3 linked regions of the Caenorhabditis elegans genome follow. The protein of the gene in region 1 purifies or fractionates together with the protein of each later gene. This does not show direct contact. Each region holds a gene or a part of one and is shown in the gene's direction. Other genes may lie near its edges. The genes, in order: hrde-1, emb-4 and npp-13.

Region 1 (3,753 bases):
GCGAAAGCTATGCGAGCAGCCGTCTACAAATGGACCTATGAACGAAAGAAGTAGTTAATTTCTTTTTTTTTAATCCCATTTTATTCTGAATCTTCTTTTTTGTTAATTTTTGCTGTTGAGTTTACATTTTATGCGTTATTGAAATTGTTGACTTTATTGAAACATTGAATTTAAAGAGATCTCTGTCGTTGTCACTGGAAACGGGACCATCGTCTCTCTCGTCAAATCAATCGTCTTTAAAACAAGCGGAGTCAGTGAAGAGGTCTGAGTGAAGATGAGCACGGCACACATGTTGGAATCGCAGCAACAATCTTTTTGCTGATACAATATCTTGTGTTGCACTAGCATCGATCGCAGTTCGCATTTTGGCATCACTGACACAGGTTGTTGACACTTTTGAACATCTGGGAATGGATGAGACATGATGAAGACGGAATCGAATTGACTGAATTTTTCAGGGTCCTAAACAGATAACTGGATTTTCAGAATTTTGTTGAAAAGGATACCGTATCCTTGACACATCCACTGTATATTCTTCCTGGCACCAGTGCCACCACATCAGTCATATTCATAGAATGACATGGATAATTCTCTGGATCATTTAGAAATTTTACTGCATTTGATGATCGAGAAAATATTGATCCAGTATATGGAAGACTTGTCGTGTTCTGTTCCCTATACACTGCTAACAAACCACACAGAAAACGAGGAAATAAATCTGGAAGATCTAGAAACGAGTGGTGTTCTAGACAAGTCTTGACCAGTTCTGATAGGCTCTGAAACTCTTTTCTAGACTTGAAAAATGACTTATTAAGCTCACAATTTTATCTTCAAGTTCTCGAATTGTCCAATCGGGTTCATATTTCTTTTTATCTTCTAGATAATTTAGAAACTTAATTTCCGTCGCATTCGTCTTCACTTCAGCTAACGGATTCATCAAAATATGAGCAATTGATTCATTAAGGAATGGCTGGAGCAGCCTGTTTGGAATTATCGGCTTTTCGAGCAACGCCTTTTCCTTCAGAATTTTAGGCATATGTTTGAGATGAATTATGTCGCATTTTATTGAATTTGCCAGAAAAGAGACGAAAAAGCAGAAAACTTGAAAAACCAGCATCGTTTTGATTGTAGAAATGAATTAAATAATTAATATTTATTGAAGCATAACAAATTAATTTTTTAAAAATATTGTTTTCTATTATTTTATTTGAAATGTTCAGAATAGTCGTTAAGTTTTTGAAAACTAATAAAATTCGATTTCTAGACGTGAAATTTTTCGAAGAGATCACAATGCAAGCGCGCTCTATTGTTACAACGCATGTGGCGCCACGATTTGAACTTTTGTACCGCCACGGATGTGTTTTCTCGAATTTTCTGGCCTAAAATTTATTTATTTTCATTTCATTTCTCTCCTTGCGTTTTTTCTCATTTTACTTGAAAATCTCAATCAGGACGGTAAAGCTTTTGTTTCATTTACTTTTTCTTAGTAAATTTCACTGTTTTATCTCAATTACATCTGAAATTCGCATCGTTTTTTCGTTTCATCGTTTCTTATTTCAGTCAAACATGGCCGACTTGCTCGACAAAATTATGGGAAGTTCGTCTTCCAACAGGATTCCCAAACGAGACAACCGAATGAATCAGGACAAGGACGAACCGACGTCAAAGAGAAGTGGTTCGTTTAGAATCAACATTATGCCTAGGAGTTCAAAATTGTCTTTTTCAGCACCAATGTTCTCTACTCCGAAGTCAACAACACCAATTGGACGGGACTCTTTCGCAACGATGGACACGATGAATGTTCAGATGAACATGTTTCCAGTGGACATCAAGGATATGCCCCACAAGATCCAACGCTTTCAAGTTGACGTCATCGTCTGTTCCAGCAACGGAAAACAGATCAATGCCAACCTTGGAGTTTTGGCGGCCAAGGGAGAGTAAGTATTTAATTTGTATAACCGCTCAAAATCAGTACTTTCCAGTGTCAATTCCCATAACCGTCGCTTGGCACAATACTACATCATGAGAACAGTACATGACAAGCTTCTGGTGAAGTTCAGTGGAAAGAGTCACCACTTCCTTGCTTACGACTGCGCTGCGACTCTCTATCTTCCGGAGGGAGTCTACACTGGTGACGATCAAGAAGAAGTCACGTTGACGATCGATGACTTCCCGAAGGAAGAATGGAAATTCGTGTCGAAGTTGTCTCGCAGAAAGGACGATTCTTACCTTGTTGTTCTCAAACCTGCCGGATTTGTGTACACCCAAGGAGAAGTTGCCCAGGAGGAGGCTAATCGTATGGAGTTGACTCGTATTATCGAAATCGTCACTTCACAAAAGCTCAACAATGAGGATTACTTACAATTTGGTAATGCCACATTCCCACGTCTTTCTCCGCCACACTCGGAACCTGATGCTATTTCGGAGATCCGCTCAGGTTTTGCGAAAGTATCTCGTCTATCGCAAAACGGAGGTGGCAAAGCTTTCATGACGGTTGATACGAAGATTTCTCCATTTTACAAGGATACATCAGTTATCAAGTTTTCAAGCAACAAGTTATCCGAAATGAAAGGTGGAGGCGGTGGAAGAGGCGGATACGGAAGAAGTGACTCGCGAGACTCTCGTGGTGGATACCGTGGCGGCCGTTCCGACTCGAGAGACTTTCGTGGTGTCTATGGAAACCGAGGTGGCAACGACAGGTACCGAGATGAAAGCAGAGGACGTCGCGACATGTACGATTCCCGTCGAGACAGTGGTTCTTCAAATGGAGCGGACTACTCTCCGAGTGATGCTGCTGAGTTGGAACACGCTTTTGGCGAAAGAGGAAACACGAAGCGATGCATTGAAGAAGCACTCAAAGGATTGGACGTGGAATGCACTCACTTGAAGGGTAACCTTATTCGCGTATCCTCGATTGCCGAGAACAATGCTGAGAAGTAAGTTATTCGATAGTTATCATCAGCGTGATAACAATTTGTTTTGTAGCACTTCGTTCATGATGAAGGACGACAAGGGAGAACGCGAGGTCACCGTGGCGGAATATTTCCTGTTGCAGTACAACATCAAGCTGAAATATCCGAGACTTCCTCTCGTCGTCTCAAAAAGATTCAAACATGAATCTTTCTTCCCAATGGAGTTGCTTCGAATTGCTCCAGGCCAGCGGATCAAGGTCAACAAGATGAGCCCGACAGTACAATCGGCGATGACAGGAAGAAATGCGTCTATGCCACAGCATCATGTGAAGTTGGTTCAAGATATTCTCCGCGACAACTTGAAGCTTGAACAAAATAAGTACATGGATGCTTTCGGAATCAAACTGATGTCGACTGAGCCAATCCAAATGACTGCGAAGCTCCTCCCACCAGCTCAAATCAAGTTCAAGGGCCAGACTTACATGCCTGACATGAGCCGTCCAGCGTTCCGCACACAGGACAAGTTTGTCGAACCAGCACGGATCAGAAAAATTGGTATTGTTGTCTTTGACAACTGTATCCAAATGAGACAGGCCGAGTAAGTCGAACGTTGTTTTCTTCTGCTTTATAATATTCTATTTTCAGAGATTTCTGCGACAAGCTGTCCAATTTCTGTCGTGACAATGGAATCACGGTCGAAAAGGACTCGCGAGATTGGTCCATCCGTGAATTGAACTCCAGTGATTCCGTTGCTATCCAAAATCTGATGAAGAAATGGCTCGATGATAGAGTGGACATTCTTGTTGGAATAGCAAGGGAGAAGAAGCCGGATGTTCACGAC
Region 2 (3,753 bases), on another chromosome or scaffold:
ACAGGCGGAAAACAAAGCAAGATAAATGGCCGCTGAAACTTGTCGGCCCCTCGGCCATGGCCTAGAAACCACTTTTCCTCGTCCCTCGTGAGGAAAAAGTTGCAGTGAATTGGCGAAATTTTCGAGATTTTAGCTCTTAAAACATGTTCTATTTCTATTAGAATTTCCACCACTTTTTATAGTTTTAACCACCTGAAATCCCGAAAATTTCCAGCTAAAAATCCTTGCCGCCACGTGGCATGTATGGTCTCGTCTGGATAAGTTGGCAATTACAGCGATGGGGCGACGGATGAAGATGTGCTGCGGTGATTGTGTAATGTTTTCGCATAAAAATGAGTATTCAATGATGGATATGAAGAATATGGAGTTGGATTTGACGTGGTGCTCACGATTAACCAATCAGCAAATGCAATTGTAAGTACTTAGGGTTGATCAACAAAAAATGCGGGAAAAATTTTCACTCCCAGAAAAATATGACGTCAGCAAACTCTATCTCTAAACACCCCGCAATTCTCGTAGATCAAACCAAATAGTAGTTTTTGTAGCGGAAAATTTCGGAAATACGCTTAAAACCCCCTCAGAATCACCCGAAAACTCGAAATTTTTGTGACAAAATCCTGCGAAAGTGTGCATTTTAGGCTTAAACAGCGCCAAAATGCTGTAGTTTGTAGTCAAAACCATCTCCAATTCGATTTTCTTTTCCGCGAAAATTTCCGCGAAAATTATTAATTTTCTCAGTTTTCTGGCATTTTTTCCATTAAAAACTCTATTGGAATTGCTTCAAAATTCCAAAAATTTGTAGTTTGTAGTCTAAGCAGCGCCCAAAATTGAATTAGCAGCGCCCAAAACTTGTAGTTTGTAGTCTAAGCAGCGCCCAAAATTGAATTAGCAACGCCCAAAAATTTGTAGTTTGTAGTCTAAGCAGCGCCCAAAATTGAATTAGCAGCGCCCAAAACTTGTAGTTTGTAGTCTAAGCAGCGCCCAAAATTGAATTAGCAACGCCCAAAAACTTGTAGTTTGTAGTCTAAGCAGCGCCCAAAATTGAATTAGCAGCGCCCAAAACTTGTAGTTTGTAGTCTAAGCAGCGCCCAAAATTGAATTAGCAGCGCCCAAAATTTGTAGTTTGTAGTCTAAGCAGCGCCCAAAATTGAATTAGCAGCGCCCAAAACTTGTAGTTTGTAGTCTTAGCAGCGCCCAGCGCATTTTCAGCAGAATTTCACCAATTTTCAGCTTCTACGACACGTCAGAAAACCACATAACCTACAAATTTGCCCAAGAAATGATGAATTTGAACCCAGATGACGTGGAGCTGTCCTATATGCTGGCTCATTTGGTGCTCGGACACGCGGGACGCCGATTTCGAGGCGAAATTCAAGAAAATTGCGAGAAAATTATGGAAAAATTGGCGAATAATCTGCATGATTACTATGTTAATGTGAAGGAAACGCCGAGATATTCAGTTCGCCTGGCGCAGATTTTGAGAATTATCCGGAAAATTAAGGTTTTCTTAGCTTTTTCACTCTAAATATTGATAAATTAATAAAATTTAACACATTTTTGCAGGAAGAAGTGCTCCAAATCCGCTCAAAACTCCAATTGGCCAAGGTTTTCGACGTTCACACGATGCGATTTTCTCATTATGAGTATTTTGAGGATTTATAATTGATTTTTATTGAATAAATTAACTTTAAATCGTGATTTTTTGAGGTTTTTGCAGGTTTTTCGATGAAAAATGACAAAAAATAAATTAAAAAAATCGAGAAATGCGCCAAGCACGCAAAGTGCGCCAGCAAAAGTCCAAGGCGCGCTTCCGGATTTTTCGAAATTTATTTTTATTTTCAGTTATTTTTTCTGATTTTCCGTTGTTTTTCAATGAATTTTCGAGGTTTTTTAGTGAATTTTGCATTAAAAAACTCGAAAATTTAATATTTCTTGATATTTTCTCCCAAATTCACCAGTTTCATCGCTAAAATCTTGCGATTTTCGGCAAAAACTGTTTTTCAGGTGTAAATGGTGACTAAACGTCATCAAGAAGCCGTGGTGACTCGGGGAGCCATCGAAAATGACACAATTTCAGCGGTGGGTGCAAAAAAACCTTAGAAAACTTACAAAAATCAAATTTCCTCCTAAAATTTCCCAATTTTTCAGGTCGCCGCCAAGTTCTGGGCTCCATTCACAGCAGAAACTCACGAAAATTTCGACGCAAAGCTCATCGACACAATTTACGACAATGAAATGCTGAAAACCTCGTTTAATTCGCGAAAAATCATGATGCTCGAGTTTTCGCAGTACTTGGAGGCCTATTTATGGCCGAATTACGTTCCAGAAAAAGCCTCAAAGGCCTGGAATATGTCGATTGTTGTGATGATTAATGAGAAATTTCGAGAACGAAATTTGGATTCGTGGAACTGTTTCACGAAGAAATCCGAGCACTTTCCGCACTTTTTTAAGAGCATTTTGCAGCTTTCGTTGCAGGAAGAAGGGTGATTATTCGAGATTTTAGCGGAAAAATGGCGAAAAAGCTCAGAAAACTCGAAATTAGCTCGAAAATTGAATTAGCAGCGCCCAAATCTTGTAGTTTGTAGTCTAAGCGGCGCCCAAAATTGAATTAGCAGCGCCCAAAACTTGTAGTTTGTAGTCTTAGCAGCGCCCAAAACTTGTAGTTTGTAGTCTAAGCAGCGCCCAAAATTGAATTAGCAGGGCCCAAAACTTGTAGTTTGTAGTCTAGCAGCGCCCAAAACTTGTAGTTTGTAGTCTAAGCAGCGCCCGAAACTTGTAGTTTGTAGTCTTAGCAGCGCCCAAAACTTGTAGTTTGTAGTCTAGCAGCGCCCAAAATGTCGTTAGCAGCGCCCAAAACTTGTAGTTTGTAGTCTAGCAGCGCCCAAAATTGAATTAGCAGCGCCCAAAATCTTGTAGTTTGTAGTCTAAGCAGCGCCCAAAATTGAATTAGCAGCGCCCAAAACTTGTAGTTTGTAGTCTTAGCAGCGCCCAAAAAACCAATTTCATCGCTTTTTGCTCATTTTTAGCTGCATTTTGCGAATTTCATAGCAATTTTTCGGCATTTTCGCTCATTTTGCACCTAATTTCGAGCAATTTTCTTGTTTTTTTTCGCGAAAAAAGCAAAAAACCACTGAAAATCACCACTATTTAAACGCGAAAAATGCGATTTTCCACTAAATTTCTCCCCAATTTTCACCAAAAAATCCTTCGAAATTTTGCAGACTCGCCTCCTCAGAACACTGTGCTCTTCTGACATTCCTTGTCAACGCATTTGGCTCCGTTGAGACACCAATTGTGCACAAAGAGACACGAAAACTCGTCTCAATTGAGATTTGGGCCGGTCTTTTGGACTCACAACGCGAAGATTTGTTCAAAAAACAGAAGAAATTGAAGAAAATTTGGGAAAATGTGCGGCAGAAAATGACGGCGGCGGCGGCGGACAACAACGAGTTCGAACGGACTTATTTGTGGAATTTAATCGAGAAATTTAAACGAGTTTTGAACAGTTTGGAGCCAAATGAGGCTCAGGGTACGTGGAAAATGCTAAATTTTCCGGAAAAAACGGAGAAAATCGGTGAAAAACGCCGGAAATTCCGTTTTTTTGAAGAGAAATGCGAAAAATTAAAGAAAATATTAGTTTTTTATCCGAAAACCGTAATTTTTTTTCGATTTTTCAATGAAAACCTCATTAAAATCTCTTGAAAATGACGAAAAAACGTGAAAAATTCACAGCAGCGCCCAAAATATTGTAGT
Region 3 (3,753 bases), on another chromosome or scaffold:
GGGGAGGAGAACCATATAGATGGTTATCTGAAGGAAAAGGGGTATATTGAGATTGATGTGGGTGTGGTGGTAATTGGATATTAATTGGCACTTTGGTGAGGATTTTGTGAATTTTCAAACTTTGCGCGTCGAATTTGGTGTATTCACATTACACACTGATTTCTGGCTTCCCTTGAAATGGAAGAGTTTTTGCCGAACTAGGCCGTTTTGGCTCGGCCATATCTGGGGTAGATTTACGGCGCGTTGCGTGTCGCGTCGCGGCTCGATTTTAGTTGTAAAACTAAATGTATTTGTCCGTGTGGAGTACACGACTTTCCCAGTCCGGCAGGCGATTGTCAATGGAGCGCGAAAAATTCAATGAGGAAGGCAATAACCCCGTAGTACTCTAATTAAGTGTCCCGTTTTTACGAAATTTTTATAAAAATTGGTTTTTTTTGTTTTTAGAGAAAATTATGAATATATTTTCTTGTTTTTCTAATCAACAAAAGCGAAATTTAATGTAAAATTACACGGGGTTCTGGCCTTCCTCGTTGAATTTTTCGCGCTCCATTGACAATCGCCCGCCGGACTGGGAAAGTCGTGTACTCCACGCGGACAAATACATTTAGTTTTACAACTAAAACCGAGCCGCGACGCGCCGTAAATCTACTCCAGATATGGCCGAACCAAAATGGCCTAGTTCGGCAAAAACTCTTCCATTTCAAATTATGAGTCCCCATCATGCCTAAGAACCCTCTATTTAGGTTACTGACACATCTGAAACCGGTGCTACAGTACCCTGCGTGGTGGGACCCGAAAATTTGAAATTTGGCAGAAAATGGGCAAGATGGGAGTCATTTTGAAGCTGAGAATGAGGAGAATGTGAATTTTAGAGTAATTTAGAGAAAAAAGTGAAATTGGGGAAAAAAAAACAATTTTTTTGGAAATTTTTTCATTTCAAAAATGTTCTTTAAATTGTCGTTAAATTCGAATTTCTCGATTTTCAGCTGTAAAATGACCCCCATCATGCCTGGGAATGCTTCAATTTCACACATTTCCCCATTGACACAGCTGAAACCGGTGCCACAGTACCCCGCGTGGTGGAAAAAAAACCCGAAACTTTCAAAAGAAATCCCTGATTTGTTTTACACTGAAAAATTGTTGAATTATCACGGGAACACAAAATTCAGAGAATGCGTATTGCGCAACAAATTTGACGCGCAAAATTATTAATATCTCGTAGCGAAAACTACAGTAATTTAAAGAATTTAAAGAATTACTGTAGTTTTCGCTGCGAGATATTTTGCGCGCCAAATATGTTGCGCAATACGGGCTCTCTGAATTCTGTGTTCCAGTAATTTTTACTTATAATTATTTTCCATAGACCAGTAAAACATTTACTGATTAAAAAAGCTCTCGACACAACTGTCACTAAATAATTCATTTTTTTAAAAGAAATTTAATGTTTTTTAGTGTTCAAATCATCCAATTTGTGATTTATTATCTGCTCCATGAGTTCCTGAGACCGATCTACCATCTGGCGGTGTACTTCTAACCGGAAAAGTCGATAATGTGGATGCTACGACACGCTCCCGAATTTATGTCTTTTTTTTCGTTTTTCTTTAAAAATAATACTCAATTTTCTTGAAACATTTTCATCGAAAATGTTTTTTTTTTCAATTTTTTTGTAAGTTTTTCATTTTCCCACTCAATTTGTACTGAATTCGATTCAATTCCAGCGGAAATTAATTTAAATTCAGCTCTTGGCAATGTGCCAAGAAGCTGGTGGCCTAGAACTCGAAATACTGGCCTAGGATTCATGCGGGATTTCGGAGTGTCGTTGCACCGATTTTTTCAAAATTAATTTTCGTTTTGCCGCGAAAAACGAGAATTATTTGGTTTTTAAAACGTTTTTTAACGATATTTTTCGATTATTTTCATATTTTTCAGGGTTTAAACTGGAAAATGTGGTTAATGTAAACTGGTTAATGTTGTAAATCCTTGAAAAAACCTAAACCAGTAATTTTCTCAATTTTTAATTCAATTCAGGATGCTACAGTTTACGGAGATCCTCGGAAGAGTTGATCATCAAGGATTCGCACAATTGCTTGCTAATCCGATTTTCCAAACCAACCGTGTCGGCCAAGAGGTTTGTAAATAATGTTTAAAATGTTAAAAACACCGAAAAATTCCCTTTTTCCAGAACTCGCAGCAATTCACAGTCCGAAATGGCGTCGAGCAGGAGCTTTGCGGTATTTTAGGCGGTTCAGAAGGCGACTGGACACGTCAGACGCACTCAGTTCAGAAGCAGATGATGTTTGGGGAGCGTGGCATCGAACTTCCGAGCCGCCAGCCGAAAAGTCACACCGCCGAGGATACTCTCACTGATGAAGGTGTCGTGGACGTGCCTGAAGCTGTAATGGATGATATTGACGAGGAAGAAGTACTTAATCACGGCCTCCTTGAGTGTTCATAATTATTGGAGCGAGCTCGCGTGGCACCTCACGAACTCCAGAATTTGCGGGAGTTCGTTCCGCGGGAACAGCAGTTTTTTGTTATTTTTGGCTTCTATAGGAAATATTTTTGATTTTTTGTTTTATAATATTCTTGAGAAACATCATCCGAATTGAAAATGTGTAAAATTATGAAATTGGCCGAAAACTGGAAGTTTTACAGAAGAAAGCCACTATAGTTTTTGAAAAAATGTATCAGGATCGCCAGTTTTGCGATTTATGCGTCGTAAAATATGTCATTTTGTAGAGAATTAAAAGTTTCATAAAAATTTTCGTTTGAAATTTTAATTCGTTAATTTCTAATAAAAAAATATTCAAAAAATCAACAATTTTACGTTAAAATCTTATTTCTTCAATTTTTAAGTTTTCAATAAAAACAATTTTAAATTTTCAAACAAAAATTCTTATGAAACTTTTAATTCTCTACAAAATGACATATTTTACGACACATAAATCGCAAAACTGGTCCTGATACATTTTTTTAAAAACTGTAGTGGCTTCCTTCTGTAAAACTTTCAGTTTTCGGCCAAATTTTATAATTTTACACATTTTCAATTCGGATGATGCTTCTCAAGAATATTATAAAACAAAAAATCAAAGATATTTCCTATAGAAGTCAAAAATAAAAAAAACTGCTGTTCCCGCGGAACGTGTTCCCGCGAATTCTGGAGTTCGTGAGGTGCCGCGCGAGCGCGCTCTAATAATTATGAACACTCCAGGTGGCCGTGATTAATTAATAATTTATCATGAAAACAACGTTTTAATCTTTAAATTTTCCAGCTCGACGAGGACATTTCTCGTGTTAAAGTGGAGACGGATCGAGCATTCTTCAACCACATGCTTCTTTCGAGACCTGCCGCAGTTCCCATGAATCCAGCACAGGCTATGGAACGAGATGTTCGTTAAAATCCCTTGCGCGGCACACCTCACGAACTCCAGAATTCGAGGGAATTCGTTTCGCGCGCACTTCTATAGATATTATTTTCTATTTTTTTGATTTATAATGTTGTTGAGAAGCATTTTTCCGAATTGAAAATGTTTAAAATTATGAAATTTGACCAAAAACTGACGGTTTTACAGAAGGCTTTCTTTAAAATGTATCAGAACCGTCAGTTTTTTGATTTCAAAGTCGTAAAATATTTAATTTTGTAGATAAAAGTCTGTTTCACAAAAATCCACGTTTGAAAATTTAAAATTGAAAATTGTTTTTATTAAAAACTGAAAAGTCTAGAAAAAATAAGATTTTAACGTAAAATTGTTG

Evidence for each region.
Region 2: the proteins of hrde-1 (region 1) and emb-4 purify together in Caenorhabditis elegans (affinity purification with western blotting; 2 studies listed by BioGRID, with this or other methods). This does not show direct contact.
Region 3: the proteins of hrde-1 (region 1) and npp-13 purify together in Caenorhabditis elegans (affinity purification with mass spectrometry, with the first as the bait; one study listed by BioGRID). This does not show direct contact.

The regions. Positions count from the first base shown.
Region 1 is NC_003281.10:4,173,967-4,177,719, reverse strand, and holds the start of hrde-1 (Argonaute protein hrde-1), read left to right. Parts: upstream 1-1,560; 5' UTR 1,561-1,566; coding exon 1,567-1,675; intron 1,676-1,726; coding exon 1,727-1,937; intron 1,938-1,982; coding exon 1,983-2,936; intron 2,937-2,985; coding exon 2,986-3,510; intron 3,511-3,557; coding exon 3,558-3,753. Other genes in the region: utp-11 (putative U3 small nucleolar RNA-associated protein 11), read left to right, coding at 1-54; C16C10.13 (Rab3 GTPase-activating protein catalytic subunit), read right to left, coding at 154-462, 507-776, 821-937. UniProt on the Caenorhabditis elegans protein: Argonaute protein which is involved in the endogenous small interfering RNA (endo-siRNA) pathway and is required for RNA-mediated gene silencing (RNAi) in the germline.
Region 2 is NC_003283.11:18,893,226-18,896,978, reverse strand, and holds the start of emb-4 (Intron-binding protein aquarius), read left to right. Parts: upstream 1-2,004; 5' UTR 2,005-2,010; coding exon 2,011-2,079; intron 2,080-2,148; coding exon 2,149-2,483; intron 2,484-3,221; coding exon 3,222-3,529; intron 3,530-3,753. Other genes in the region: nhr-243 (Nuclear Hormone Receptor family), read left to right, coding at 215-414, 1,231-1,501, 1,564-1,662.
Region 3 is NC_003279.8:2,095,318-2,099,070, forward strand, and holds the start of npp-13 (Nuclear pore protein), read left to right. Parts: upstream 1-2,028; 5' UTR 2,029-2,029; coding exon 2,030-2,128; intron 2,129-2,182; coding exon 2,183-2,422; intron 2,423-3,272; coding exon 3,273-3,389; intron 3,390-3,753.